7 linked regions of the Macaca mulatta genome follow. The protein of the gene in region 1 purifies or fractionates together with the protein of each later gene. This does not show direct contact. Links are inferred from orthologs where the notes say so. Each region holds a gene or a part of one and is shown in the gene's direction. Other genes may lie near its edges. The genes, in order: RBBP7, CHD3, ING1, SAP30, ARID4B, EZH1 and PHF12.

Evidence for each region.
Region 2: the proteins of RBBP7 (region 1) and CHD3 purify together in Homo sapiens (affinity purification with mass spectrometry; 6 studies listed by BioGRID and IntAct, counting the BioPlex papers as one, with this or other methods). This does not show direct contact. The link is inferred for Macaca mulatta from reciprocal best matches to the Homo sapiens genes RBBP7 and CHD3.
Region 3: the proteins of RBBP7 (region 1) and ING1 purify together in Homo sapiens (affinity purification with mass spectrometry; 5 studies listed by BioGRID and IntAct, counting the BioPlex papers as one, with this or other methods). This does not show direct contact. The link is inferred for Macaca mulatta from reciprocal best matches to the Homo sapiens genes RBBP7 and ING1.
Region 4: the proteins of RBBP7 (region 1) and SAP30 purify together in Homo sapiens (affinity purification with mass spectrometry; 10 studies listed by BioGRID and IntAct, counting the BioPlex papers as one, with this or other methods). This does not show direct contact. The link is inferred for Macaca mulatta from reciprocal best matches to the Homo sapiens genes RBBP7 and SAP30.
Region 5: the proteins of RBBP7 (region 1) and ARID4B purify together in Homo sapiens (affinity purification with mass spectrometry; 3 studies listed by BioGRID and IntAct, counting the BioPlex papers as one, with this or other methods). This does not show direct contact. The link is inferred for Macaca mulatta from reciprocal best matches to the Homo sapiens genes RBBP7 and ARID4B.
Region 6: the proteins of RBBP7 (region 1) and EZH1 purify together in Homo sapiens (affinity purification with mass spectrometry; 4 studies listed by BioGRID and IntAct, with this or other methods). This does not show direct contact. The link is inferred for Macaca mulatta from reciprocal best matches to the Homo sapiens genes RBBP7 and EZH1.
Region 7: the proteins of RBBP7 (region 1) and PHF12 purify together in Homo sapiens (affinity purification with mass spectrometry; 5 studies listed by BioGRID and IntAct, counting the BioPlex papers as one, with this or other methods). This does not show direct contact. The link is inferred for Macaca mulatta from reciprocal best matches to the Homo sapiens genes RBBP7 and PHF12.

The regions. Positions count from the first base shown.
Region 1 is NC_133426.1:16,537,958-16,542,573, reverse strand, and holds the start of RBBP7 (histone-binding protein RBBP7), read left to right. Parts: upstream 1-1,421; 5' UTR 1,422-1,766; coding exon 1,767-1,782; intron 1,783-1,835; exon of another isoform or gene 1,836-2,174; coding exon of another isoform or gene 2,175-2,322; intron 2,323-2,596; coding exon 2,597-2,741; intron 2,742-4,616. UniProt on the Homo sapiens protein: Core histone-binding subunit that may target chromatin remodeling factors, histone acetyltransferases and histone deacetylases to their histone substrates in a manner that is regulated by nucleosomal DNA.
Region 2 is NC_133421.1:9,412,666-9,416,642, forward strand, and holds part of CHD3 (chromodomain-helicase-DNA-binding protein 3), read left to right. Parts: intron 1-192; coding exon 193-278; intron 279-428; coding exon 429-562; intron 563-694; exon of another isoform or gene 695-833; intron 834-1,123; coding exon 1,124-1,268; intron 1,269-1,439; coding exon 1,440-1,602; intron 1,603-1,696; coding exon 1,697-1,818; intron 1,819-1,923; coding exon 1,924-2,059; intron 2,060-2,171; coding exon 2,172-2,273; intron 2,274-2,460; coding exon of another isoform or gene 2,461-2,463; coding exon 2,464-2,589; intron 2,590-2,981; coding exon 2,982-3,090; intron 3,091-3,281; coding exon 3,282-3,414; intron 3,415-3,731; coding exon 3,732-3,927; coding exon of another isoform or gene 3,928-3,973; intron 3,974-3,977.
Region 3 is NC_133422.1:105,129,635-105,133,947, forward strand, and holds the end of ING1 (inhibitor of growth protein 1), read left to right. Parts: intron 1-1,895; coding exon 1,896-2,599; 3' UTR 2,600-3,730; downstream 3,731-4,313. UniProt on the Homo sapiens protein: Cooperates with p53/TP53 in the negative regulatory pathway of cell growth by modulating p53-dependent transcriptional activation. Implicated as a tumor suppressor gene.
Region 4 is NC_133410.1:181,805,671-181,810,191, forward strand, and holds the end of SAP30 (histone deacetylase complex subunit SAP30), read left to right. Parts: intron 1-123; coding exon 124-222; intron 223-3,398; coding exon 3,399-3,521; 3' UTR 3,522-3,713; downstream 3,714-4,521. UniProt on the Homo sapiens protein: Involved in the functional recruitment of the Sin3-histone deacetylase complex (HDAC) to a specific subset of N-CoR corepressor complexes. Capable of transcription repression by N-CoR.
Region 5 is NC_133406.1:13,890,517-13,894,493, forward strand, and holds part of ARID4B (AT-rich interactive domain-containing protein 4B), read left to right. Parts: intron 1-3,054; coding exon 3,055-3,168; intron 3,169-3,977. UniProt on the Homo sapiens protein: Acts as a transcriptional repressor. May function in the assembly and/or enzymatic activity of the Sin3A corepressor complex or in mediating interactions between the complex and other regulatory complexes.
Region 6 is NC_133421.1:67,059,970-67,063,946, reverse strand, and holds part of EZH1 (histone-lysine N-methyltransferase EZH1), read left to right. Parts: intron 1-962; coding exon 963-1,054; coding exon of another isoform or gene 1,055-1,060; intron 1,061-2,003; coding exon 2,004-2,044; intron 2,045-2,872; coding exon 2,873-2,998; intron 2,999-3,977.
Region 7 is NC_133421.1:37,672,922-37,677,474, reverse strand, and holds the start of PHF12 (PHD finger protein 12), read left to right. Parts: upstream 1-1,657; 5' UTR 1,658-1,730; coding exon 1,731-1,868; intron 1,869-1,871; exon of another isoform or gene 1,872-2,380; coding exon of another isoform or gene 2,381-2,446; intron 2,447-2,646; exon of another isoform or gene 2,647-2,806; intron 2,807-3,095; coding exon 3,096-3,277; exon of another isoform or gene 3,278-3,331; intron 3,332-4,533; exon of another isoform or gene 4,534-4,534; coding exon of another isoform or gene 4,535-4,553.

The DNA.
Region 1 (4,616 bases):
CTTGCCAACCAGCGTCCTAGAATATGAGGGCTGTATTGCTTAAACACCCTTCCAACTCTTTTCCCTCTCCAGCCACCCCCTCAGCCTTAGGCACTAACAAGATTCTTTGACCCGGCATAGGGGGAGGGCGTTATAATAATGAACTGTATTGTATCGGAAACAAGACAGTAAATATCTACAGAAGGGAATGTGTGACTGGTTCTGCCACTGACTAACGTCTGGGTTTGCGTCCCGGTCAGAAAAGTGGGCATGACAGCGGCATCTGCAAGATAGCATCTGAGCATGAAGGCACTTGGAAAGGTATCAAGGCAGCAAATGTTCCGGGGGTGCTTTTGCAAGAGGAGCCTCTCTCGGAGCTGGACGTACACTTCGGTTCCCTTTGCACGCAGGCACCTTGGTCGCCTCCCCCAACTCCGTCCCCTCTGCTCCTGGCCCTCATTTTCTTTTATTCCCCTTTTGGCCTTGCAGCCAGTTTTCTCCTCCCCCGATACACTCCCCAGGGGCTATGAAGTTCCCGAGCAGAGCATGGCTCAGGTAAGCAGGCCCAGGGCAGTTCAGCCCTGCTCTCTCCAGCTCCGCCAGCTTGGGGTGGGGTCGCCCTGGGACCCCTGCAGGTGACAAAAATGACTCAGCAGGGGCCGGGGCTGGGATGCGAAAGGAATGCCAGTGCTGGAACAAAATCCCCTGAAGCACGAAGAGGCCTCAAACCATCATCTTAAGGACCCAAACATCGAACAAATTAAAATGTAACAATGTAAATCGGTTTCGGCCCGCCGGCGGCCTGTGCCGCTACAGGCTGCACATTTAGCCTAACAAGGCGGCCCGGCGGCTTTTGCAGGCAAAAAACGCCCGCGGCCTCTCCAGAAGCTCTCTTCCCTCTGAGACCAGCCCCACCTCGGCCCGACCGGGCCCCAGGAAAGGCCAGTCGGCTGGAGGAGAACATTTCAGGGGTGCAGAGAATTGCATGTCCGTGATTATCAGGGAGACTTTGAAGGCACAGTAATCTCTCGAGAACAGGAACCATTTTCCCCTCTTGCTCTGAGATTTTGCTTGGCTAAGCGGCAGCAGCCTCCCTGCCCCCCTCTCACCCCCACCACCGCTGCCGCTACCAGCAACCACGCCCCGCGGGCCCCAAGGCTAGCCGCCCCGGGGCTCGCGGCCCCCGCTCAGCCGGCCAGCCGCGCCTCCATCCACCCCACCCTCGCGCGCCCCCATCCGCCCCGCCCCCTCGGGCCCTCATCCGCCCCGCCCCCGCGGCCCCCATCCGCCCCCGCGGCCGGCCCTGGGAGCACCGGGCGAGCCCTCGCGCCTGCGCATCGCCAACTTCCTGCCGCGGCACGCTCCGCCCACCCCCAGAAGCCCGCCTCCGAACGCCGCGTGAAACCCGCCCGCCGCGCGTCATTGGTCGCGGCGCTGGAGCCGTTGGCTCCCAGACCCGCCTCTCCGCCTCCTCTCACTTTTCCCAGGGCGGATGCGCCTGCGCTTAGCTGCCTGGGCGGGCTGGGAGGCGCGGGTTGAAAAGTCTCGTTCCAAGTTTGGAGAGAGAGAGAAGAGCGCCTCAGACCTCGGTACCCGCGAGCGGGGAGGAGGCAGGAAACAAGGACGCGGCGTCTGGGGAGCACCCAGGCAGCAAGACTGGGCCCGGGCTTTCGACCGCGGGGAGTGTGTGACGCGTTTGGGAAAGGCAGGAGCGCCAGTGGTCGGGCTGCTCTTGGCTAACGAGGGGAGTCCGAGGCGGCGGCGAGGGGCGAACGACCCGACGCAAGATGGCGAGTAAAGAGAGTAAGAGGCCCTGCGGGGCGGCGCGCGCCGGGGCCGCGGGGGGCGGCGGGCGCGCGAGGCCGCGGCACGCGCCGGCGAAAGGCGCGAATTGGCGTGCGGAGCAGGGGGCGGGGCCGGGCGCGAGGCTGGGCGCGCGCCTCGAGGGGCCTGCGCGGGACGGGACCGCCGTGCCGAGGGCTCCGAGCACTTCCGGAGCCGGGCGCGGGGCCGAGGGCTGGGCCCCTCTCTTCTCTTCCCTCCTCCAGAGGCTGCGCTCCCTCCGGCGCCCTCGGCCCCGGGGCGGAGGCGGCCGCCGCCGCCGGGAAGCGAACGCCGCGGCTCCTTCTACGCGCGCGCGTTGACCGCCTCGGGGTCGCGGCCCTTGTCCGGGGGTTGCTGGAGCCCTCAGGCCTATGGCTGCCGAGGCGGGTGTCGTGGGAGCTGGGGCCTCCCCTGATGGGGATTGGAGGGACCAGGCCTGTGGGCTTCTGGTACACGTGCAGTTATCTTCCCGAGTGGGTCGCGCAGCCCCTGTACGTACAGGTCGTCATCTTAGAACAGGTGCGAACAGCTGTAACAGGGTAAACAATTTCCATGTCCGTGTAATTGACTACCCAACATGGTATACGCAGAGGGTATTGATCTCAACGGAAAAAAAGAGGCTTCGTGGTTGGTAGTATTTTCTTCACCTTCTGGAAGAGCAGTTAGTTGTCCGTGTCCAAATTAGAGGTAAAAGGAAAGAGTACATGAGGTGTGGCCATCTTGAGGTGACCTCCAATTTCTGACTTCGATCCATCTCAGCCACTTAATTGTGTGGGCTTTCTCCAAATTTCAGTGTTTGAAGATACTGTGGAGGAGCGTGTCATCAATGAAGAATATAAAATCTGGAAGAAGAATACACCGTTTCTGTATGACCTGGTTATGACCCATGCTCTTCAGTGGCCCAGTCTTACCGTTCAGTGGCTTCCTGAAGTGACTAAGTAAGGGTTTCTGGCAACTTTTTTTTTTTTTTTTTTGCTTAAATTTAACTGTCGTTCTGAATTTCCTAGTTTTGGCGTTTTATACCTAGAACATAAGTATGTAATCAGCCCTTGCATGGGGTGGCAGGTGGTTTTTATTTTCAAAACTTAACGTGATTTATGGGATGATTTCTGGCGTATAGTGTGGTGGTAAAAGGGGAGAAAGAATCCGTTGTGAGATTAATGGTATTTGGAGGAAACACTGAATGTATTTGACAGTTCCTGGGCTCGAATGTAGAGCAGCATCTCTCTGGGCCCAAACTAATGCGTTTCTTTAAAACTTTATTGAAAAAGAGAATATTTACAGAAAAGTTCACACATCATAAGTGTTGTATGGCTTCATAAATTTTTGCAAAGTGAACACACGTAACAGTCACCCAAGATAAATACATTTTAATTGGTAAAGGCAAAAAGACCTTGTCAACAATTGACTAAAGAAAAGATGTTATTGGCTTATGGAATACACTTTGAGATTGCCGTTAGTCTTCATAAGAGTATTCTTTTCTGTTAGATCTACAGTTTCTCTGGTAATAATTGCTGGCATTTATTGAGCACTCAACAGGGCCTGGCACAGCTGAAGAATCTACGTCTTGTTGTAATCCTCACAGTAGTACTATGCTGTAGGTAATTTTCATTATCCTTGTTTTACTGATAGGGGAACTGGGAGTGAGCGTTTAAGTGCCATCCCAAGATCACACAGCTGGTCCCTGCGTTAGTCTGCCTTTCTCATTCACTTGAACCTTTTCTAGTAGGAACTTGACCATGTACTTTTAAAGTGTATTAAATATGGGGCCAGGCACAGTGGCTTATACTCCTGTAATCCTAGCGCTTTGGAAGGTTAGCTTGAGCTCAGGAGTTCAAGGCTGCAGTGAGCCATGATTGCGCCACTGCATTCCAGCTTAGCCAACAGAGAGAGACCCTGTCTTCCAAAGAAACAACAAAAAAGCATCTTAAATTTGAGTGTTGTGGGCATATAATTTAAAGAGGATTAAATGAAACTCTAACCTAAAAAGAGGATTTTGCAACAAGTTATAAAAATAATAAGCTAATTTTGGCTGGGCGCGGTGGCTCACGCCTGTAATCCTAGCACTTTGGGAGGCCGAGGCAGGTGGATTGCCTGAGCTCAGGAGTTCGAAACCAGCCCAGGCAACACGGTGAAACCCTGTCTCTACTAAAATACAAAAAAAAAAAAAAATTAGCCGGGCGTGGCAGCGTGTGCCTGTAGTCTCAGCTACAGGGAGGCTGAGGCAGAAGAATTGCTTGAACCTGGGAGGCGGAGGTTGCAGTGAGCCAAGACCGCACTACTGCACTCCGGCCTGAGCGAGAGCAAGACTCTATCTCTTAAAAATAAAAATAATAATTACAATAATAATCTAATTGTATATAAAACTGCTCTTACAATGGCTAGGTTCTCCATATGCAAACATTGATTTCCATACAGATAGGAATTTCCACTGGGCTTCCCAAAAATCTAAATGTAAATGTACAGATGTGGGAAGAGTAGAGAAGAACTAAGTGATGGACACTTGGAAGCATTGACGTTTACAGTCACCTTTGAACAGATTAAAAACTAGATTAAGCATCGTATGCCCAGGGGTATTCAAGTTCTGGTTTGAGCATTGTGTGCATTTGCCTCTTTGGTCTGTTAAGCAGATTTAAAATGTATTAACTAAATTTACCTTTTTGGGGATCTTTTTGACCCACTGTAACATAATGGAAAACAGCAGGGACTTTAAACTTAGAGACCTGGGTTAGAATCATGCCCCTGCTTCTTCTTAGCTTTGTGAACTGGGGCCGTGTTGTCTGGGCTGTAAATGGAGATGTTGGTCGTACTGA
Region 2 (3,977 bases), on another chromosome or scaffold:
ATTTTAAAATATGACTAGTTCTTTTAGAGTCACTGGGTTAGTAGTTCTGAAGTGCTTGGGAGAGAATTGGGAGCACCTCAAACATGATAGGAATGTTCCTGTGTTCTGTATCTTGTGGGAATGGGGTGCTAAGGAGGACTGAGGCTTAGAGGAGGTGGTGGATCAGCTAATTGATGTCATCCCCACTCTCAGGGCGTAGACAGTCAAAGAGGCAGCTCCGGAATGAGAAAGATAAGCCACTGCCTCCACTGCTGGCCCGAGTCGGGGGCAACATTGAGGTGAGAGCTGGGCCCAGTGTTCGTGAGTTCTCCAAGGAGAGCATGAGGGCAGAAGGTTGGAAATTGGGGCCTGGATCACTGAGGGTAGAAAGGACAAGACCTAAGAACCCTGGACATTTGTCGCCATTGCCTCCTTGCCCCCACCCTCAGGTGCTGGGCTTCAATACCCGTCAGCGGAAGGCTTTCCTCAATGCCGTGATGCGCTGGGGGATGCCACCACAGGATGCCTTCACCACGCAGTGGCTGGTGCGGGACCTGAGGGGCAAGACTGAGAAGGAGTTTAAGTGAGTGTGGGTGATACAGGGCTGAGTTGGACGCAAGGGTAAGAGCTTTGGGTGTTCCATTCTTCCTTGGGGCCGCCATATGATGTGACCTTACTCAACTGATTGTCACCCTCCCTGCCATACAACGCTTCCTGGCTCGATTTCCTGGGGGGTGGTCTCAGCCCACCCCACCTCCCCTCAGCCGAGCCTAGAGTAGAGGGGCCAGGCATTCTCCCCAGGGGAGAGGTGTTGAAGCAAGGAACCTCTCCTGGGCTGTCCTAGCCTCACATTTACTTGGCCACAATCACCTGGCAGGAGGAGCTGGTGGAAAGGATGAAGAGCTGACTGATGGGGCCCAGGAATTAAGTACCAAGGCCAAGGGGATAGGCCAGGGATGGGGCGCAGGGGCACGGTTAGGACTTGGAGGGCTGGTAATGGTGAGAGTGAGAGGCCCAGGGGAGGAGCCCTGGAGCATCTGGGGATTTGGGGACTTGGGGGTCCTCAGTCATCCTTGCATCTTCCTCACTGCCCTATACCCCTTCTGTGGCTTCCCTAACCGTCCTCCCACCCCATGCTTCTTAGGGCCTATGTATCTTTGTTCATGCGCCATCTGTGTGAGCCTGGGGCAGACGGCTCTGAAACCTTTGCCGATGGGGTCCCTCGGGAGGGACTGAGTCGCCAGCAGGTGTTGACCCGCATTGGAGTCATGTCTCTCGTCAAGAAGAAGGTATCAGTCTTCCTCTCACCCAAAAAATCAAGCTGGCTGCCTAGTCTCTGTCCTTCCTCTGCCTCTGTCCCTGAGTTGTAAGCTCGCGCTGGTGTGAGACGGAGGAGACTGGAGTTTCCTGTCTGTATGTCTGTAAGTGCCTGGAGCTGACACCTGTCCTTCCCACCCCAGGTGCAGGAGTTTGAGCACATCAATGGGCGTTGGTCAATGCCGGAACTGATGCCCGACCCCAGCGCTGACTCTAAGCGCTCCTCCAGAGCCTCCTCTCCTACCAAAACGTCTCCCACCACTCCTGAGGCTTCTGCTACCAACAGTCCCTGCACCTCTAAACCTGGTAATCAGAAATCAGGATGGTGGGAGAGACAGAAAGGGAGCCAGGAGTCGGGGCAAGAGAACCTCTGTCTTTATCACTGTGCCTTCCCCTGCAGCTACTCCAGCTCCAAGTGAGAAAGGAGAAGGCATAAGGACTCCTCTTGAGAAGGAGGAAGCTGAAAACCAGGAGGAGAAGCCAGAGAAGAACAGCAGAATTGGGGAGAAGATGGACACAGAGGTGTGTGGCTCCCTGGATTCCCCTGTGGAGTGGGAGGGGAGGGGGCTTGGAGGCCAGATGCCTGGGAGCCCTCCAGCTCATCCTGACCCCATTGTCCTCTTACAGGTTGATGCCCCCAGCCCAGCCCCATCACTCGGGGAGCGGCTGGAGCCAAGGAAGATTCCTCTAGAGGATGAGGTGCCAGGGGTACCTGGAGAGATGGAGCTTGAACCTGGGTACCGTGGGGACAGAGAGAAGTCAGGTGGGTGCATGGCCTTAGGAGTGATGGGGGATTAGAATTTGGGATGTCCCTCTTCTGGGGTCAGAGGATGAGGGTAACATCCTCCCTTCCTATCCCCTACCCCCTCCCACAGCCACAGAGTCGACGCCAGGAGAAAGGGGGGAGGAGAAGCCGATGGATGGACAGGAACACAGGGAGAGGCCGGAGGGGGAAGCAGGGGATTTGGGCAAGAGAGGTAATGGGTGGAAGGACCGGACACCTGGGTCCCTGAGGGCATCAGGGGAGGTGGAGTCTGGGGAACCAAATGCTTGGGTCCTGGGCGGGTAGCTGTTTGAAAGGCCAGGACAGCACAGTACAGATAGTAGTCTTGGGACCTGGGAGGAGGGTGTCCTGAGGTGTGAGCTTTCACCTGTCTGTCCTAGCAGAAGATGTAAAAGGTGACCGGGAGCTTCGACCAGGGCCTCGAGATGAGCCACGGTCCAATGGGCGACGAGAGGAAAAGACAGAGAAGCCCCGGTTCATGTTCAATATCGCAGATGGTGGCTTCACAGGTTGGGGAGACTCTCGCTGCTTTCTGCTCCTCAAGGGGATCTGCTCATCCTCATGGGGTTTCTCGTTTTGCCTGAGGCTTCCTGCTACCTTTAATTCCAAGTAACTTCCAATGAAGTATGTTGCATGCTGACTCCGATCCTTGCTCTAAATCTTTCTTAAGTATCCCTCTTAACTCCAAAGCTGGCTCTAATCCCACCTTTATTCTTAATTCTAACTCGAACCTGGTTAGTAACGGAGTTTGTTCCGAACTCCTAACCTAACCTTTACCCATTCCTCTTCAGGAGCCCTTAGTTCCCTTTCATTATTCAGTTTCCCCATCTGTACCTGTCTGTTGGACTGAGTGCAGTCTGCAAACCCTTGTTGCTTCTTCTGTCTGCTGCCGCCTTTGCAGAGCTTCACACACTGTGGCAGAATGAGGAACGGGCAGCTATTTCCTCAGGCAAACTCAATGAGATCTGGCACAGAAGACACGACTACTGGCTTCTGGCTGGGATTGTCCTGTATCCTTTGACACACGTGCAAGAAGGAAAAGGTTCTCTCAAGCTGGAAAAAAAAAAAAAAGGATGATGATTTCACACCCAGGGACAGGGCTACTGCCACACTTTGGGGAGTCAGGCCAAAAGGAAGAAGTGTTCAAAGCCAAGCCCATTCCTGTTAAATTCCTTGATGGTTCCCTTTCCTTCATTGGTAGCCATGGCTATGCACGGTGGCAGGACATCCAGAATGATGCTCAATTTGCCATTATCAACGAGCCATTTAAAACTGAAGCCAATAAGGGGAACTTTCTGGAGATGAAAAATAAGTTCCTGGCCCGGAGGTTCAAGGTGGGAATGAGGGAGGACAGGAACGGGTTTTAGACGGGCTTGGGTCAGAAGTGAGGCCAGATCTAGTTGGAACCTAGGGAAGGTTAACACCTTCAGGGCTGAGGTGATGCTTGGAGCCAAGACCAAAGTGTAACCTTGTGCTTGGGAGTGTGGTCTGGGTCAGGGTTGATGCTAGGTTCGCAGTTGGTTTGGAGCTAGGAGTGCTCTGGGCCAGCAGTGAGGGCAGGGTGGGTCTCCTGCTATGTCCAGTCCCCCCACCCGCCACTCACTCACTGCTGGCAGAGCCCTGCCTTCACCTCCCAACCCTGTGCCCTCAGCTCCTGGAGCAGGCGCTGGTGATTGAGGAGCAGCTGCGGCGGGCGGCCTACCTGAACCTGTCGCAGGAGCCGGCGCACCCCGCCATGGCCCTCCACGCCCGCTTCGCCGAGGCCGAGTGCCTGGCCGAGAGCCACCAGCACCTCTCCAAGGAGTCGCTGGCGGGGAACAAGCCGGCCAACGCCGTCCTGCACAAGGGTAAGGGCCGCGGCGGCCCCGCGCGGGGGAGGGCCCACAACGCTGCGTAA
Region 3 (4,313 bases), on another chromosome or scaffold:
CAGGCGGATCACGAGGTCGAGAGTTGGGAGACCAGCCTGACCAACATGGAGAAAACCCTGTCTACTGAAAATACTGGGCGTGGTGTTGCATGCCTGTAATCCCAGCTACTCGGGAGGCTGAGGCAGGAGAATCGCTTGAACCTGGGAGGCCAAGGTTGCAGTGAGCCGAGATCGCGCCATTGCACTCCAGCCTGGGCAACAAGAGCAAAACTCCGTCTCAACAAAAAAAGTAGTATTGTTGCCTTGTTTAAAGAGACTGCAAAAAGGTTTTAGGAGAATAATCTGGTACTGTTTAATTTAATGGTTATTGTTTGAGGAAAAAGAGCTCTGGAATTTCTTTGTGAGTAGCCTTTTGGCAAGACTGTTTACTGCCCTTATTTCAACTAGATTTTTTTTTTTTTTTTTTTTTTTTTTTTTTTTTTTTTTGAGACGGAGTCTCGCTCTGTCGCCCAGGCTGGAGTGCAGTGGCGCGATCTTGGCTCACTGCAAGCTCCGCCTCCCGGGTTCCCGCCATTCTCCTGCCTCAGCCTCCCGAGTAGCTGGGACTACAGGCGCCGCCACCACGCCCGGCTAATTTTTTTTGTATTTTTAGTGGAGACGGGGTTTCATTGTGTTAGCCAGGATGGTCTCGATCTCCTGACCTCGTGATCCGCCCGTCTCGGCCTCCCAAAGTGCTGGGATTACAGGCTTGAGCCACCGCGCCCGGCCTCAACTAGATTTTTTTAACAGCTTTTGTTTCTTGAGAAATTGCCTAATTACACTTTAAAATCATATGCACTGTCCTCTAACATGCCCAAGAAGTTTTATATTTAAATACTGAAGAGGTTTTCTTTTCTTTTTGATGGCATTTTAAAGTCCATTGACTTTAATAGATGTGAAGATGTTTTTGTTTAAGCAGTAGATGCAAAAGTAAAATCTACCAGCTTTGTTTTAAAGCAAGGCTAGTACATTCACTGCAGTTAAAAAATAATAATAATGACCCATTACAGTTGTGCTCCTGTAGTCCTAGCTACTCAGGAGGCTGAGGTGGGAGGGTCACTTGAGCCTGGGAGGTCGAGGCTGCAGTGAGCCGAGATTGCACCACTGCACTCCAGCCTGGGCGACAGAGACAGACCTTGCCCCTAAAATAATAATAACAACAGTCATAATAATAATAAAGCAAAGCTAGGTTTTTCTGGATTATTGTGGCAGAACTGTTCTTGCTTTCACTAATACAGAGGAATAACATGCTAGAATAAATGTGGGGACTGAAACTGAGGACCTAACACAAAGTAGCCTGGACCTTTGCTGTTAACCCGGTTCTTTAAATCATAGAGAGCTATTATATAAATTTATACACGTTCTCTAATTTAACAGGATATTCTAGATGTTGGTATGTTAAAATAGAGACCTTTTTTATTTGAAATATTCAAATAATTTATATTTTATCGTTTGTATATTGTGTATAATGTAATAAATACCATGTTTATATATAACGTTATATGTATATTAATAATTGCATTCAAATAGAAACATTTGAGTAAAAATGATGGCAGTATAGGACATAATCATTAATAGAAAGTATTAATACAGGTTGGGTCCCGAGCACTGCACTTCATTTAAATGTTTCCTCTTAATGGCTTCGGGCATTGTCACCCGTGCGTAGGAACTGTTCTGTGGTTCTCTCTGGGATGGCTGGAGCGGCTCCTCTTCCTGTGGGAGCTCTTCTGGCATTTGCATTTAGTTCCAGGGCACAGGAACAGAGAGGCCCTGGAGGGCCTGTGGCTGGTGGGCTGGGCAAGCCGTGCGCTGGCCCCTGGGCCCCCTGCCAGCCCTCTCCGTAGACCCGGGTCCGGGGCCGTGTGGGTTGTCCCGATGTCCTGCTCGCGAGTGATGCCTGTCCTTCTTGCCCCCAGAGATCTTGAAGGAGCTGGACGAGTACTACGAGCGCTTTAGCCGCGAGACGGACGGGGCGCAGAAGCGGCGGATGCTGCACTGTGTACAGCGCGCGCTGATCCGCAGCCAGGAGCTGGGCGATGAGAAGATCCAGATCGTGAGCCAGATGGTGGAGCTGGTGGAGAACCGCACGCGGCAAGTGGACAGCCACGTGGAGCTGTTCGAGGCGCAGCAGGAGCTGGGCGACACAGCGGGCAACAGCGGCAAGGCTGGCGCGGACAGGCCCAAAGGCGAGGCGGCAGCGCAGGCTGAGAAGCCCAACAGTAAGCGCTCGCGAAGGCAGCGCAACAACGAGAACCGCGAGAACGCGTCCAGCAACCACGACCACGAGGACAGCGCCTCGGGCACACCCAAGGAGAAGAAGGCCAAGACCTCCAAGAAGAAGAAGCGCTCCAAGGCCAAGGCGGAGCGGGAGGCGTCCCCTGCCGACCTCCCCATCGACCCCAACGAACCCACGTATTGTCTGTGCAACCAGGTCTCCTACGGGGAGATGATCGGCTGTGACAACGACGAGTGTCCCATCGAGTGGTTCCACTTCTCGTGCGTGGGGCTCAATCATAAACCCAAGGGCAAGTGGTACTGTCCCAAGTGCCGGGGGGAGAACGAGAAGACCATGGACAAAGCCCTGGAGAAATCCAAAAAAGAGAGGGCTTACAACAGGTAGTTTGTGGACAGGCGCCTGGTAGTGAGGAGGACAAAATAAACCGTGTATTTATTACATTGCCGCCTTTGTTGAGGTGCAGGGAGTGTAAAATGTATATTTTTAAAGAATGTTAGAAAAGGAACCATTCCTTTCATAGGGATGGCAGTGATTCTGTTTGCCTTTTGTTTTCATTGGTACACGTGTAACAAGAAAGTGGTCTGTGGATCAGCATTTTAGAAACTACAAATATAGGTTTGATTAAACACTTAAGTCTCAGACTGATTTCTTGTGGGAGGAGGGGGACTAAACTCAACCTAACACATTAAATGTGGAAGGAAAATACTTCATTTAGCTTTTTTTTAATAAAAGTAATATTACTTTATGAACAAATTTTTTTAATTGGCCGGTCGCCAAAAATACAGCCTATAGTAAATGTGGTTCTTGCTGCCATGATGTATATCCATATAACAATTCAGTAACAAAGGTTTCAAGTTTGAAGATTATTTTTTAAAAAGGTAAATGGTTAAATTTTACATGATAGATATTTTATATTTTGGCCTGTTCCCCAAATGGCCATTTTAAAATGCTTGGGTACACTTCTCTTAAACAAGCGGTCTAGTCAAGGAACCTCAAGTCATGCTTTTGCTATCACGAATCATAGTGTAGCCATCTTTAATTTATATCAGGTGTATAAATGTACATTTCCAAGTGAACTTGCACTTGCTATATTATGATTGGAAGTGCAGTCAGCAGATGCTGTTGTGAAGCTAATGTCACAATTATGTGCAAAGGTGTGCTTCCTGCTGTATGTGAGCTGTAAAAATGTTACGTGAAGAAATAAATGAAACTTGGCCAGTTTGTTCCTCTAGTAGTATATTTAATTTTGACATAAGTAACTTTTAAAATTTGTCTTAAAAATTTATACACCAGCAGTTTAGACGAAGCCTTAAGTAAATTTTGTATTATTGTTCTCACTTATTAATAATGAAGTTACCTAATTGCCAGCAAATAAATATGTGTCAAAACAGAATCTGTATTCAGACCCTGGGTCAGGAAATTACTGCCCACTTGTCAAGTCCAGTCCACCACTTGTTTGAACATTATATGGAGTTTAAATTCTAGTGTCCATAAATAAAGTTTCGGTGGAACAGAGCTGTGCTTATGTGCGTATGTATTGTCTGTGGATGCTTTTGCAAAATGGCAGAGTTCATTAGTTGCAACTGAGACCTTTTGAGTTGACAAGCCAAAACTATTTTCAGGCCCTCTGCAGAAAGAGTTTGCTGACCTCTGATTTAAACTGGCATCTAACATTGATCTGCCCACATATTGAAAGGGTCAGTGGAGTTTTCATTTGTTTTTTATTTTTTTGAGACGGAGTTTCGCTCTTGTTCCAGGCTGGAGTGCAATAGCGCGATCTTCGCTCACTGCAACCTCCGCCTCCCAGGTTCAAGTGATTGTCCTGCCTCAGCCTCCTGAGTAGCTGGGACTACAGGCACCTGCCGCTACGCCCGGCTAATTTTGTATTTTTAGTAGAGAACACAGTTTCTCCATGGTGGTCATGGCTGGTCTCGAACTCCCGACCTCAGGTGATCCACTCACCTCGGCCTTCCAAAGTGCTGAGATTACAGGTGTGAGCCACCACGCCTGGCCGGAGTTTTAATTTCTTTCTTTTTTTTTTTTTGAGATAGAGTCTCGCCCTGTCTCCAACCTGGAGTGCAATGGCGTGATATTGGCT
Region 4 (4,521 bases), on another chromosome or scaffold:
ATTTTTTTGATTTTGGAAGTAAATTTTTATTGTGCTGAAGTTAAAATGTTTGTTATTATACATATCGATGATAAATTTTCCACAAATTGTATGAACTAATTTATGCATGTTAATTTTTTCTAGGTTGATTTATACCAATTACAAGTAAATACACTTAGGAGATACAAAAGACACTTCAAGCTACCAACCAGACCAGGACTTAATAAAGCACAGCTTGTTGAGGTATATATGATTTTTAAACTATTTGAACTATGCACAACCGAGAGGCTGTTAAATGCTAATGAAAGTATTAATGTAGTATATGTAACAGTACATTTAACAGTACATTTTATTTAGAAAGAACAATGTTAAAAAATCTATTGTGGAAGAATCTAGTTGTCTAGAAATGTTTGTCAGCCACTTAGGAAATTCCTTTTTGTAATGACTACTCAGCAGGTTGTGTACAGCACCTTCTGATACTGGCTTTCAAAATGTGTTGTTTGTTTTTTGAGACAAAGTCTCGCTCTGTCACCCAGGCTGGAGTGCAGTGGCACGATCTCGGCTCATGGCAACCTCTACCTCCCAGGTTCAAGCAATTCTCCAGCCTCAGCCTCCCAAGCAGCTGGGACTTCAGGTGTGCACCACCACACCAGGCTGATTTTTGTGTAATATCTTTAGTAGAGATGGGGTTTCACCATGTTGGCCAGACTTGTCTCAAATTCCTGACTTCAAGTGATCCGCCCACCTCAGCCTACCAGAGTGCTGGGATCAGCAGTGTGAGCCACCGTGCCTGGCCCTCAAAATGTTGAATGAGAGTTTTTTTTAATCCTCACTTTAGAAATCTATTAGTTTTAAAACTCCATTTAACCAGTAAATGTTTGAGCATCTAATTGAGGCATAATAAATTTAATTAGCAAGCTTTAATGTCCTTATTAAAATTTATATTTTAAAGTGGTGGAGTAGGCCTACAAATCAGCCCCTAAACAGTATTTTTATAATTTGCTGACTTAACTATTTCAAAATTGGTCCTTGTTGATGTTAGTTTTATTAGAGACATCTATGTTTTCTTCACATCTAGAAGAGGCAAAAGCTTTTCTTTTACCCAATCTTTTACTTGTAGTTTGCTTTGACAGAGGACTTCTAGTTAGTCAGTGAGTTGTGAAAGTTAATGGAGTATGCATATGTTCTCAGGATATAATAGAACCAAGAAGTCTGTGCATCTTATTAAGATGCTTATAGATTGATATATTTATATTTTAATCATATTTAAAATTTTTGCTTGCAGCTACTCAGGAGGATTGATTAATCCTAGGAGTTTGAGTCACCATGGGCAACATAGCAACACTCCATCTCTAAAAAAGAAAATTTAGCCTACTAGACAAAATAGAAGTGTAGATATATAAATCGGTTTTCTCATATTCTTTGCATGGATTTAGTAGTTACCCAACATTTTCTAAAATGTACAACATTTCATTGAATAAAATGAAATATGAATAGAAGTTACATTTATCTGATGGAACGCTTTTTAACATTGTTAAAATCTAATACATTAACTATTTAGCTAAAATTTCTTATCCTTGGTTAGGCAACACGGATCTAATTAATTTTTCTTTAATTTTGATTTAAAAGATCAAGTTCTTTTGGGGTTGTACAATACATTATGTAACGTAAATATAGATCTTGCCCACCATGATGAAATATTTCAGTAGGTACTAATGGAGTGAAGGCACCCCTGTTTTGGAACAAATGAGAACCAAAGAACTAATTATTTTAAATGTTACATTTAGGTATAAATTAAACCTGAAATTTTTGATAAACTGACCTTCTAAGAACAGTTATATTATTTCTAGAGCTATTTTCTTTTTTATACATAAGAGATAGCCATGAGTGTTATATTTTACTTAATCAGAAATGCAGTTATTAACAGGTTAAGGAATGTGGAAATGTGCAGATGTAGTACATATATTTTAAGACAGGGGTCCCCAACCCCGGGGCCATGGACTGGTACTGGTTGATGGCCTGTTAGGAACAGGTCCACAGAGCAGGAGGTGAGCACCAGCTAGCAAGAATTACTGCCTGAGCTCCGCCTCCTGTCAGATCAGCCGTAGCATTAGATTCTCACAGGAGTCCAAAACCACGTGTGAAGTGCACATGTGAGGGATCTAGGTTGTACGCTTGTTATAAGAATCTAATGCCTGATGATCTGAGGTGGAACAATTTCATACCAAAACCAACTCCCCCACCCCCAATCTGTGCAAAAATTGCCTTCCGTGAAATCGATCTCTGGTGCCAAAAAGGTTGGGGACCACTGTTTTAAGGGATTCCAGGGTTGTATGACTAAGTCTTAAGTCTCGTAATTGTTGTGTGGATGAACTTTTTTCTTAAGAAATTCTATTTTCTGGAATCTAAATATGCTTGTCAGCACCTCAGGTAAGTCTATTAATCTTCTATTCGTAATTGTAGTATGCATATTACATTAGCACAATGAAAAGGCAAGGAAGCAGGTAAACATCCTTCATTGAACATCCCTCTTTCTCCTCTCATTTCCATTCACAATTTTTATTCAGAAAAATTTTCAAGGAACCTTAACCAAAGAATGCTACCAAGATACGAATGAATGAATGTAATTTGCAGCAAATAATTTATATGTTATTGTTGATTACTACCAAAAGTTTTCAACTTCATACTTCTTTTTCTATCAGTAGGGTCTAAACCATTGCAGGTTTAATGATGCATGTGGTCTCTTACATCTGTTTTATCTCATTTAAAGTTTAAAAGTAAAAACATGTATTCCCTACTCTAGATTCCAATTATAAAATTTATTATTTTTATCTTATTTATCTTTTTTGAGACAGAGTCTTGCTCTGTCACCCAGGCTGGAGTCCAGTGGCGTGATCTCAGCTCACTGCAACCTCCACCTTCTGGGTTCAAGCAATCCTCCCATCTCAGCCTTCTGAATAGCTAGGATTACAGGTGTACACCACCACGCCTACTTAATTTTTGTATTTTTTTTTGGTAGAGATGGGGTTTTGTCATGTTGCGCAGGCTGGTCTTGAACTCCTGGGCTCAAGTGATCCCCCTACCTCCGCCTCCCAAAGTGCTGGGATTACAGGTGTGAGCCACCACTCCTGGCCCAATTATAAAATTTAAAATAAATAAAAGGAAAATGTATTTTCTAATCAATGTATAGTAAATTGAGTGAGCCAAAAGGTCCTTTGAAATCACATTATCTCTTGTTCATAACATTTTATTCTTAAATGCTTTTTGTCCTGTTGGTATTTTCTTAAATATAATTTTTAAAGGAAATAGCTCTTATCACATAGATTTTTTCTTTGGATGAAACCGTATTTTTTACCTAGTTTATGAAACCTGTTATATCTAAAATTTAATTTCCTTAATTTTTTTTTTTTTCTTTATAGATAGTTGGTTGCCACTTTAGGTCTATTCCAGTGAATGAAAAAGACACCTTAACATATTTCATCTACTCAGTGAAGAATGACAAGAACAAATCAGATGTCAAGGTTGATAGTGGTGTTCACTAGGAGACGTGGAATTGAGACTAATAACTTGGATGATAACACTGTTTACTGTTTTTTCACATGTAGAAATGTTCTTTGTGTATTTTTTCTACAGAGGATTTTCTCTGATTTTATTTTCTTTGTTTCTGACTCTAATAATTAGTTGGAAACTCATGTAAAATGAGCTTTCCTAAATTAAAAACTATTTTAAATAAAGGTTATTACTATTATAGTTGCTTCAGTGTATTTATTTTGTGAAACTTGATTTTTCTTTTAAACTGACTTAGAGATCAGTATTGATATTTTAATGTAAAGTCCTTCATTTTATAACCCCCTTTTTTTTTTTTTTGTAAACTTCCAAGAAATTAACAGGGTAAGGAGAAGTAACAAATGTAGCACATTTGCATTCTCTGGGACAATCTGACTTGGAATTGAAGATATTTTAAATAGCATTATTTTTTTTAAGTGCTTTATAATGCTAGCAAATTTGAAAAATAAGCTTCTATTGGAATACAACTTCTTTTTTATTTCCTTTTTTTTTTTGTTATTATTACTTGATGAAGTACTAGGAAGAACAAATGGTTTAATTTATATACCCACCTCGTTCCAAAGACAACTTAATGTGCCAGTGAAGATAAACACAATGCTGAAAGTCGAAATAAGAACATGAAATGAAATAGCTGTTTTTGAAAATTTTGTCTTTGGGAAAAGATATTTATGTGGCATGAATACAGAAAGTACCTCTGCTATGCCCCTTAATTTTTAGTGATGTCCTGTACTGTTTACATTGCAAATGGTAACTAGTAAGTTGGAGAGGTCTAGATATCTAACAAGATCTTCATTTAAATTTTGGTTATATATGACTGACTTGATTTATCCATCTCCGTTTTATGTTTCATTCCTGGTCAGTTTTCTATCAAACATTCTAAACCTCTGCTTTTCCTGAGATTATATTGTTTAGCTAAATCCTTATAATTACAAATCAAATTTATAGTTTGTAACGCTTCAGCAAACTGTTGTGAGA
Region 5 (3,977 bases), on another chromosome or scaffold:
TCAAATCGGTACCTTCCCAAAGTATTAGTGCCTTTCGATGGTGCCATAGCCATACTTCTGTCATCATTTTTCTTATAAACCACTTCATTCAGGTAGCTTTAAATCAGTATACTCTAGGCTGACACCTGGCTTTGGAACACACTTTTCCATTGTAAAGACAGAGCAGAGCACTAGGGTATGTTTTTTATATACCATAAAAGATTTTAGAATGCTAGCTTTAGGTTTTTAGCAGAGCTTAAAAGAGATATGGTCTAGATCAAATTAGTTAATTCTGTGTTTTCTAAGGAATCTTGACTTAAAACATCTCTGTTTTAAAATAAATTAAAAATATACTTGCAATTAAATTGAAATGTTCTTTGCTTTTTTCACATTTATAAGTGTAACTACTATGATTTTATCTGTGCCATACTATCTCATGGAACTGAACTATCCAAACATGACTAATTTTCAAAATGAAAGAATCCTTTATTTCAGAATATTAGACAGGCTTTCAACAATAAAATTTTACTGACCAGGTGTGGTCACCACGCCTGTAATCCCAGCAATTTGGGAGGTCAAGGTGGTGGATAGCTTGAGTCCAGGAGTTCAAGACCAGCCTGGACAACATGGCAAAACCCCATCTCTACCAAACATACAAACATTAGCGAGCTGTGGTGGCACATGCCTGTAGTCCCAGCTACCTTGGGGGCTGAGGTGGGAGAATCACTTGATCCTGGGAAGGCTGCAGTGAGCCAAGATCACGCCACTGCACTCCAGCCTAGGTGATAAAACAAGACCCTATCTCAAAAAAAAAAAGGAAAGAAAAAAACAGGTTTTACTGTTACAGGTTTTTTGGGTTTTTTTTTTTTTTTTTTTTTTTTTTGAGATGGAGTCTTGCTCTGTCGCCCAGGCTGGAGTGCAGTGGTGTGATCTGGGCTCTCTGCAACCTCCGCCTCCTGGGTTCAAGCAATTCCCCTGCCTCAGCCTCCTGAGTAGCTGGGACTACAGGCATGTGCCACCATGCCCAGCTAATTTTTTGTATTTTTAGTAGAGATGGGGTTTCACCATGTTAGCCAGGATGGTCTTGATCTCCTGACCTCATCATCCGCCTGCCTCAGCCTCCCGAAGTGCTAGGATTATAGGTGTGAGCCACCAGGCCCAAACTATTGTTACAGTTTTTGAGAGGTTGTATCCTCATTATATGTTCCTAATATCTTACAAAAGATTAAAATTAACGAAAAAGAGACAGCTGGGCGCGGTGGCTCAAGCCTGTAATCCCAGCACTTTGGGAGGTGGAGACGGGCGGATCACAAGATCAGGAGGTCGAGACCATCCTGGCTAACAACGCTGCCGTTTTGAATCTTAATCTTGACTAGGTTAGTAATTATGGAATTTGAAAGCTACTCCTAAATTTAGGGTAACTTATATCTTTTTAGAAATAATTGTTTTTTTGTTTTATTTTTTGTTCTTTTGAGATAGAGTTTTGCTCTTGTTGCCCAGGCTGGAATGCAGTGGTGCAGTCTTGGCTCACTGCAACCTCCGCCTCCCAGGTTCAAGAGATTCTCCAGCCTCAGCCTGCTGAGTATCTGGGATTAGTGCCCAGCTAATTTTTGTATTTCGTTTAGTAGAAATGGGGTTTCACCATGTTGGCCAGGCTGGTCTTGAACTCCTGACGTCAGGTAATCCACCTACCTCAGCCTCCCAAAGAGCTGGAATTACAGGCATGAGCCACCACGCCCTACCAGAAATAAATTCTTAAGCACCTATTTCACATGGCCACATTTTAATACATTTACTTACTATGAATATTGGAGAGTCCCCACTATATCACAAGTTAAAACGTAAGTTTTGCTATTTAGATGTAGTTTTTTCCTCTTAATTTACTCTACATTGAAGGTTTTTATTTCTTAGCATCTGAGCACTTTAGAATTCAACTCTTTTGGAGAGAAACCTGACAATTATGACTCTGTGCCTCAGTATGGTCAATATCTACGTCTCCTTTGTGTTTCACTTAAATTGTTATATTAAAATGACTTTAGGTGGGTTCACATACTTGGTGTAAAAAATAAAAAAGAAATAAATATTAAAAATTTAAAAAGGTATTAGGAAAAGTTATAAGTAAGATTATATGACCTATTTTTAAAAAAGGAAGTTGCAGACAGTTAATTACTTGTCCTGTTTTTGACCAAGGAAGTTAGGTTTTATACACAGAAGGTTGATTTAGTGTCTGACATTGGAACTGAATGGAGATAGTACTTTATTAGTCTCTGGAGAAAAAAAGCTTATTTTATACAGTCTGAGAGATAACATATATGAATTAGACAGAAGTATAGCAGATGCTAAGGAATAGAAAAATGCTACAGTTGAGAGAAGTGATTCATCAGTGAAGCCTGGAACATCTTAGTGAAGATGTAGGACTTGGGCTAGTCCTTGAAGAAAAGGGAGACATTTATTTGTAATGTTTTGCAATAATTTCCCACCAAGAAGATGAGACACTTTTTAGAACTACTATGTTGAATTTGTAAATGGTATGTGTGTTAACCAGACAGCGTCCTGGGAGCTTAGTTATTTTTGAAATAAATTGGTTAAAAAAAAACCAAGTGTGAGTTACTGCTAAAATTTACCCCATTAATATCATTATATCATTTTAAAAATTATGTTAATATAAGACATAATGTCATTAACATTTTAACCTGTGATTAAGTCTTTATATTTTGGTTTTATTGAATCTTAACAAATTTCAGTTTTTATTTTCAGCATATGCTTGTTTTTTAATTACTAGGCTCATAAACTCCCAGTACTATATTAAGGACTATTTTCAATTTAGATCTGATTTTTTAAAGAAGGATGTGCATACTTTATTTCCCTTTTTTAAAACCCTGACTTTTATTATGTACAAGAATTCAGACTCCATTAATGACAGTTTATTAAAAACTTGTAATTTCTGTGACAATTTATAAATGTCATAAAGAACATGTAGTTTGGATTGTTCTATGCTTCTAAAATGTGAAATTAATTTATACCTAGGAAATGTTGGATTTTATTTTGTGTTACTTAATCCCTTTCACTTCATAGCCTGTACAGGTCAGAAAAGAGTGAAAGATGCTCAGGGAGGAGGAAGTTCATCAAAAAAGCAGAAAAGAAGCCATAAAGCAACAGTGGTAAACAACAAAAAGAAGGGAAAAGGCAGTAAGTGTGAAATATCTAATTTTTAAAATATAAAAATAATAGCTGATAATTTTCTCCCCAGTAAGAAAATGGTATTCAGGATATGGGATAGTACATTATTTTGATTTTGTCTGTACACTCAAAAAAAGTCACACAGATTCTGTAAGGCTACTTGCTTTAAAAAGAAAAAAAAAAACATGCATTAGGAGAAATACCTAATGTTAATGATGAGTTGATGGGTGCAGCAAACCAACATGGCACATGTATACCTATGTAACAAACCTACACGTTGTGCACATGTACCCTAGAACTTAAAGTATAATAATAATAATAAAGAATTTCTGCAAAAAACCCCACAGGTTTTCTAATCTTAGGTAAATTCTAGTTTTAAGCAAGTTGGTATTATTCAGCGGTGGTATTGATTGCTGATGAAAAATCAAGTAATCTGTTTTTGAAATAGTAGCCAATATACTATAAACATCAACATATTTGTTACCTTTGTGTTCCACAGTTATTTTCACTTGCTATAAAATGTATCACACATTGTGAAATATTTCAACTGTGTGTTTTTATTACAGTGAAATTGATCGCTTAGTAATTCTTCAAGGCAAAATCAGCATAGAAGTGTAACAATCAAGATACCTTTAGAACTGTAATTCCAACAACTCAGTCTACGACATTTATCTTTGGTACCCTATATTATGTGACCTGAGAGTAACTACAAACAATACTTTTTGCTAAGTATGCTCCAACTTTAGCAACGACTCCGTTCATCAATCCACAGAAAATATATATACTGTATTTCTTCTGAGGGCTGCACATTTTATCTC
Region 6 (3,977 bases), on another chromosome or scaffold:
TGGCTCACACCTAGAATTCCAGTGCTTTGGGAAGCCATGGTGGGAGGATCGCTTGAAGCCAGGATTTCAGGACCAGTGTGGGCAACAAAGTGAGACCCTGTCTCTACAAAACAAAACAAAACAAAAAGCCATGCACCTGTAGTCCTAGTACTCAGGAGGCTGAGGTGGGAAGATGGCTTGAGCCCAGGAGTTCTAGACTACAGTGAGCTATGATGGCACCACTGCACTCTAACCTGGCCAAGAGTGTGAGACCCTCTCTCTAAAAAAAAAAAAAAAAAAAAGAACCATAAGCTGAAGTGCCCTTTGCTTTCATTTTGGAGCTCATACCTATTTCCCTGAGTCACAGGTTCTCAATGTAACCATCTATGGATTTGTATGCAAAAATATTCTTGTCTGTATTTTCCTGAGAATATTTACAGTTTTCAAAGATCCCCCCAAAGGGCCAATAGCCCCAACAAAGAAAAGGAAAAACTAAAAACCAGTGCTTTAAGAGAAAAAACGCATCCTATTGAAATGGCCAAAGCTCTGGCATATTTGTACCAACAGAGGGAGCTAATATTTAGCCCACTGAAACCATTCCTGTTCTGTCCTGTCCTGCCTTACACTCAGTTACACAAGGCACAGAGTTACCCTTCCTAAAAAGAAGATACTATTGGTCACAATCAGCCCGCTCTTCTACCCGTGGCTTGGTAGAAAGAGTAGGTGACAGCTTCTGGCCAGGGGTGTGTTACTGTGCTCAGTATTTCTCCTTTCCTGAGTCAGGATAAATAATTAGGAATGAACTTCAGAGCCAGTGACCCAATCTCCCAATGGCACTCTGTCTCTCCCTGACTGACAAGAGGCTCAGTCAGCCTCTTGTTCTGAGGGTTCCTCAGAACCCTCCCAAGACCAGCACCCAGTTGGGCCACTTACCTGACCCCCTTGCTCGAGGAGTGACAGGCCCTGTTGGATTTCTCTTCCAGGTCTTTCAGTTTGCAGTCAAAGAATCACTTATCCTGAAGCTGCCAACAGATGAGCTCATGAACCCCTCACAGAAGAAGAAAAGAAAGCACAGGCAAGGGTTGGACAAAGTGTTTTGTTTTACAGCCAGGCTGTTCCCTGTGCTCTGACCTCCCCTTGGAGTTCCCATCTGCCTCCCTCTTTAGCAACCACACAGGCTGTGTAAGCCCATCAGCTTGGCATCACATGACTGAGAGCCAGCCTCCTGAGTGCTCCCCAAGGGTCTGTGCCTTGGATCAGCCCTCTGCTTGTCCCCAGGTGCTGTGGACCATGACATAACTGGCTGTTTTTCTGTTTAAGCTCCTGGCCAATAGGACATGAGCTGGCTTCATGGCTCCACTCCGAAGCCATTTCTCCTTGTTGGTTTAGTTACCACCTTACCCATTTCTCAACTCTGACCAGAGTTTATTTATTTGTTTGGTTCGTGTTGTTTTTCTGAGTTACATAATAACACTGTCTTCTAGCTAGCCTTTACTTAGGTTAGAAGTTTTTTTTTAAAAATTGTGTACCCTGGCTCTGTTCCCTAATGACTATCACCTATCAGAGGAAGGAGCTGACACCACTTCTAGATACAGAAGGAAATCCCTGTGACTCCTCCCTTTCAGTTCTTTGGGAGAAGATTCCTGAAAGGCCTTCCCACCTCCCCATCTTGAAACTCCCCCATATCTCCACCTCCACAAAGACAAAGGGAGAGATGGGGAGACAAACAATAGCTTTATAATAGACCGATAGGCTTGGGCTTTCTTTTGTTTCTGTGTTGTGTTCTTTTATGTTATTTGGTCGTTTGGGAGGGGTGTGTTTAAGTTTAAATCTTGTAGCACAGGCCAGCTGGATTTAGGCTGGACTCTTGCTTCTGTGTACCAAAGTCGTCTTGTTGAGGGGTTTGGGAAGATACTCCCCAGTCATCAAACACAGTCCCTCAGAGCAAGTCACGTTGTCATTTACCTGCATTTACAGAGCTCCCTAGAGCCGTGACTGAGACTTATTCTTCCTGTCTTTTTCAGATTGTGGGCTGCACACTGCAGGAAGATTCAGCTGAAGAAAGGTAAGTTCTACCAGGGCATTCTTCAGCAGTTCAGTTGGAGGCTTCACCCTATGGTCATCACCCTACCCCACAGCTGCACTTGTTGACCCTGTGCCACTTCCGCAGATTGCAGAATTCTCTGCAGCAACTGAGAACAGCTCAGCCTCTCACTGCAACTGAGAAGACCTCTTAGGAGGTAGCATTAGGGGCCTTGTGATCGGTGATTTTTCTTTTTTTTTGAGATGGAGCCTTGCTGTGTCACCCAGGCTGGAGTGCAGTGGCACAATCTCGGCTCACTGCAACCTCCGCCTCCCAGGTTCAAGCAATTCTCCTGCCTCAGCTTCCCGAGTAGCTGGGATTACAGGCATGTACCACCACTCCCGGCTAATTTTTGTATTTTTAGTAGAGATGGGGTTTCACCATGTTGGCCCGGCTGGTCTCAAACTCCTGACCTCAAATGATCCACCTGCCTTGGCCTCGCAAAGTGCTGGGATTACAGGCATGAGCCACTGTGCCTGGCCAGTCTGTGACTTTTCTAGTGTGCCATTTGCTAGGTTCCAGACCTCATTTAATGTTTAGAATAGCTTCCCTATCACCTGTCAAAGGAAGAAGCTGACACCACTTCTAGATACTTCTCTGTAGCATCTCCACATCCTCCCCACAAAGCAGACCACCCCATTGCAGGTTATGAATAACAGTCATCCCTGTCTTCTCACTTCAGGTGCTAAATGTGTGTCCAAGAAGATTGTTAGGACCAGCCTCCTCTGAATCAGGGCAGCTGGACACTTGGGAGGGAAGATAGCTGGAGCGTACGGTCACAGCAGCGTCTTCCTCTGTTCTCTCTCCTAGATAACTCTTCCACACAAGTGTACAACTACCAACCCTGTGACCACCCAGACCGCCCCTGTGACAGCACCTGCCCCTGCATCATGACTCAGAATTTCTGTGAGAAGTTCTGCCAGTGCAACCCAGACTGTAAGTGTGCTGCGTCTTCCCTATAGTCTACCAAAACAGTCGGCACCAGTGTGCCCTAGGCTTGCCCCATTCCTGTGCCCTTTACTACTTATGAGCCTTCTGATAGTCTCTTTGCTGTGTTTTAGGGATTCTACAAATGAAATAAGTGCATGAGATCTGCAAGAGTCATTTCTGGAAAACGTTTAGGTTCATGATTGTAAAAGCAGAAATCAGATACCTTCCCAACTTTGTCTTCTAGGGGAGAATTAAGAAATGAGGGGGGCCAGCAGGCACAGCCACTCACGCCTGTAATCCCAGCATTTTGGGTGGGCAGATCACCTGAGGTCAGGAGTTCAACACTAGCCTGGCCAACATGGCAAAACCCCATCTCTACTAAAAATAAAAAAAATTAGGCCAGGCGTGGTGGCTCTTGCCTATAATCCCAGCACTTTGGGCGGGCAGATCACTTGAGGTCAGGAGTCAAGACCAGCCTGGCCAACATGGCAAAACCCCATCTCTACTAAAAATACAAAAATTAGCCAGACATGGTGGTGCATGCCTGTAGTCCCAGCTACTTGGGAGGCTGAGGCACAAGAATCGCTTGAACCCAGGGGGCAGAGGCTACAGTGAGCCAAGATTGTGCCACTGCACTCCAGCCTGGGCAACAGGACGAGACTCTGTCTCAAAAAGAAAAGAAATGTGAGATTCTTTTTTTTTTTAAGTTACAGCCCCAGTTTCCCTTTTCTGGATACTGTTTAAATTTTTTTTTAATTCAGATATTTTCTGTTTGTGATTCTGTGTATGTCTATTTTCATTTAATAGCTGGAGTTTTAATATCAGGTAGAAGACGGGGCCTGGATGTCAGCAGAGACATCCGGGTACTTATCTTTCACTTCTTATCCCACTATGCCCTTCCCAACTCAAAGCTGAGCAGTTTGATGGCAGTCCCCAGAGCTTGCAGAACTTGGTGCCCAGGCGGTTTTGCTGGAGGAAATACCTC
Region 7 (4,553 bases), on another chromosome or scaffold:
GTACCCAAAGAAAGCACAGCAATTCCTTACACACAGTCGACATGGTGTAATGGACAGTGTCTGGTTTGAGAATCAAGAAATCTAATTCTTAGGTCTGCCATAAATGCACTATGTGACCTAGGCAGATCACTGCTCCTCCGTGTGCATCTAGAAACGAGGGGATTAAATCAGATGGTCTCTAAATCCTTTCTAGCTTTACGACTCTGAGAATGCTAAGGGTCCCTTAACATTAAAAGTGGGCCGAGTAGGCCGGGCGCGGTGGCTCAAGCCTGTAATCCCAGCACTTTGGGAGGCCGAGACGGGCGGATCACGAGGTCAGGAGATCGAGACCATCCTGGCTAACACGGTGAAACCCCGTCTCTACTAAAAAATACAAAAAACTAGCCGGGCGAGGTGGTGGGCGCCTGTAGTCCCAGCTACTCGGGAGGCTGAGGCAGGAGAATGGCGTGAACCCGGGAGGCGGAGCTTGCAGTGAGCTGAGATCCGGCCACTGCACTCCAGCCTGGGCGACAGAGTGAGACTCCGTCTCAAAAAAAAATAAATAAATAATAAAAATTTTAAAAAGTGGGCCGAGCACAGTTACGAAGCAACAACTCCAACTAAACCCTTAGTGTCAAGCACAACGATGCAGTTCTCTTCTCCACTGCTTCATCCACCCTCAGGCAGCAATAACCGCCCATCTCTGACGGCGATACCAAGGGGAGGAGCTGGCGCCCTGAAAAGGAGCATGAATCCCCGCCCAGAACGTGAGGCGGGCCCTCAGACTACAAATCCCGGCATGCAGCACTGACGCTCTCAAAAGTATCCCTTCCTGGCCGGCAAATGACTCTTCCCTGGGTCTATCCTACCATAGAGTGCATCGCACGCACATGGAACTACAGCTCCCACAATCCATCAGCCCTATCGCGATTCTTGCTCCCAGGGTGCAATGGACCGCCCCCCCCCCCCGTTCGCCCTTTAGACCCTTTGGCATTGCAATCTGGGAGTTGGAGTCCGGGGTACGCAGGTAGCTGGGCGTTGTCAGGATTACAAACTCTCCGCTTTAGGCTTCCTCTTGAAGAGCAGATCTCAGGGACAGTGGTGAAGAGAGGGTGGTAACGGGCAGGCGGAACTCTCCACAGTGCCACCACCACGCAAGGCAGGGATGCTCAGGATACAATTAACTGATAAAATTAACTGTCAGGACGGGAGAGAATTAGGAACCACAGTCATCCAACACGCCACCAAAAGCGTCATTTTCTGTCGCAAATGGCTTTTCTCTTTACCAATATGGTGGCCTGGTCCAGCCACACCTGATGCTAGAACCGAACAGTCCAGTACAACATCCCTAGGAACACTGCTGTCACCGACAGGCGACCAGCTCCATCCAACACCACACCTTGTTCCTTTCTGTTCATGCCTGAGGACTCCAAGGGCATGATAGCCCATATCCCATTACCAAAATGGCGAAAGTAGCAGCCTTCTTGTGAGGGCCTGCGGAAGACAATACGCCTGCGCGGGAGGCTTCTGTGTTACGGAGTGGGAGGGGAGCACTCCCAACACGCCTGCGCAGGACGGAGTCTTCTTAGTTTGCACACAAACACCAATGGATGAAGAGTCCCTGGCTTCCTGCGGCTGCGCCTTGACCCCTACAAGCTTTCCCAAGCGCCTGCGCGAGCCCTCAGGTCCCGCCCTTTTGTCTCAGTGCGCTGGCGCACGGCAGAAAGGTGGGGCTTCGGTCCTCCAGACGAATGCCAGCGCGGCTGCGCGCTGGGGGGTACTCCCTCACCGCGGCTGCGCGGGAGCCAGGCCGCCGGCTGTCACTGCGGTTGCGCGCGGCGAGCGCCGATCCCGGGGCGCCTGCGCGGGTGGCTTTGCGGGCGCTCGCGGTAAGTTTGCGCCAAGTGCGCGGCAGCCGGGACGCAGACGGCGGCGGCGGCGAGAGGCGGAGCCCGGGGACCACCCCCCATCACCCTCCCCCCAGTCACCTCACGTACCACAACCTCACCTAACCTCTTACCCCCCCCCGTCCGATACCCCCAGCCCCGGGATGGCAGCGCCCGCCAGCCTTCCCGGCCGGACCGGCGGTCGCCAGTGCCGGCTTTAGCCTGTGGGACTAGGCCCTGCCGAGGCCTGACCCCTGGAGCCAGGACCCACTGTGCAGCCAGCAGCCGGGCCGGGACTGAGGGGCTGCTCCCCCCTCGCGGCCCGTCGGGAGGACGCTGTCGTCCCGGGGACTGGGGGCCGGGGGGTGGGGGGGAGCCAGGGCGAGGAAGTCGGGACCCGTGTTGGGAAAAAAGAAGCGGGACCGGGGTCAGGAGCGCCCCCTACCCCCACCTCCCCCCTCCCCCCGGGGTTGGGGGGGCCGGAGCAGAGAGCACCCAGCCCGGGAGGTGGATGAATGTGGGAGAAAATGGAGACCAAGACGATCGTGTACGACTTGGACACATCAGGGGGGCTGATGGAGGTAAGAGTGGCCCTCCTCATCCCCTTCCCCCAGCGCCGGGAGGGAACCTCCGCCCTCCGCCCCACAAAGCCGGTCCTAAACTCGAAGCGCCCAGAGAACCGAGGGAGGGGGATTCTTCCTCACTTAGCCTCTCCCTCCCCTCTTTGCAATTTAGGGGGCTGAGCTCAGCCTCCGAGGACGTTTGCAGCAGTTTCACCTACCCGCCGCCCTCGATTCGCTCTCCCCAGGCGCCAGCCCACTCCATCTCGTTGCACCGGCAGGCCTCCCCACCCCCTTCTTGTTGGCCCCTTTGTGCTTCCCCCAGCACGTCCGGGTACCGGGCTTCGGGCCTCTCCAGAGCCAGGCTTTGGAGTCCCCCACTGTCCATACAAGGAAGTGGCCAAGAAGGGAACCGCGCACCCTCTTCCCATCCCCCTACCCTTGATCCTCCCCATTTGGAAGAAGCTGTTCTCGTTCTTGTGCTGCAGGAACGCGGTTAGGGTGGGCTCCCCCTGGTTCCGGGGGCTGAGAGGTTCTGGGAGCAGCCTGGATGGGAGGAAGAAGGACAAAAGGGGGGAGAGGGGTGGGTGACGGAGAAGCCGCGCCGGGGGGGCGACGGACCGCCCGGGAGCTCCGAGTGTGCACACACGCCGTTTGTATGTGTGTGCAGCAAATCCAAGCTCTGCTGGCCCCCCCCAAGACGGACGAGGCAGAAAAGCGGAGTCGGAAGCCTGAGAAGGAGCCCCGGAGAAGCGGCAGGGCCACCAACCACGACAGCTGTGATAGCTGCAAGGAAGGTGGAGATCTCCTGTGCTGCGACCACTGCCCGGCTGCCTTCCACCTCCAGTGCTGGTAAGGTCCGGGGACCCTTCTCTGCGCATTCCTTCACCCGGCCTGCCCCTGCCTGCCGAAATAACGGGCGCTTGCAGCCGCTAGCTGACTTTCTGCAGCTGCCCGGGCGAGCACCTCCCCGCCCCCAGGTGTCCGCCGGGTTCTGGCAGTTTAGGGGGGAGGAGCAGCGGTGGGTCCGGACCCCGAGGTGGGGGTTGGGAGGAGTGAAGAGAACCCCATATGGGATTGGAAGTCGCTGGGGAGCCGGGACAGAGCCGGCCGGGGACAGCCGGCAGTGGCGGGGGAGGAAGGGGAGGAGCTCCGGGCCCAGCGCCGCTTGCCTGCCCGCGCGCCCGCTGCCCTCGGGGCTCCTGCCCGGCCGGGCTCTCCTTGGGGTGGGTGCGTAGAGCCCTCGGCCACCTGAATTGCAGTGGTCCAGACCCCGGCAACCGGGCGCTTGTGGCTGTAGAAGAAATCATGGAGGGTGTCTCTCGAGTCCGCCTCTTCCTTGCCTCTCTGTTTACAATATGGCGACCTGCCTTTAAATTATATTTTTATTCTCAGCGCCATTTTGGCTGCATATATGATTTGCAAACGTCTCCCGGGGAACGGTGGGGACAGCCCCCGAGTCCTTTCTGCAGAAGCTCCTCAGGGGCCCAGGCTGGGATCTCGCCGCTTTGGTCCCCTTTCTCTACCTCCGCTTGCCCTCTGTTGCCTCTCAGAGCTGCCTTCCTTCCTCCTCCCTCTTCCCTCCTCCCTCCCGGCGCCACTGCCTCTTAGGAAATCGGGCCGGGTTAGACAATTAAAATTGCCCTTGGGCGCCGATTTTATTTCTCCGCTCCGGATCGGCGAGCCCTTCGCTGCAAAATTCTTTGCTGCCAGGGGGAGGATTGTGTGCGGTGGCATTGGAAAGGCATTTTTAAGGAACTGAGAGCTGGAAAGCCGTACGCTTTTTTCCCCCTTACTGGACACGAGGGGAGGGGAGAAACCGAACCGAGAGGGAGGGACGTGGGTTGATCGCCCGCTGCGTGATCCTCCTCAGCGGCTCAGCCCAGAACAATCCGGCAAAGAAGAGTTTAAACTCCATCTTCTGCCGGCAGAAATCACCTCTGCCCTCCACAAAAATCCCACATCTGCGGCAGCAAACCCAGATTTCGTCTTGTTCTACTGGGTCTCGTTCTGTTGTTCTGCAACAGTTGACTGAGGCAGAGGTTTGAGAGAGGAGCCAGTCGGGAGAAAGGAAGAGGGGGCTGTTTCTGTGTTCCCACCAGTTTTTTGATGTTGCCTTTTTTAGCCC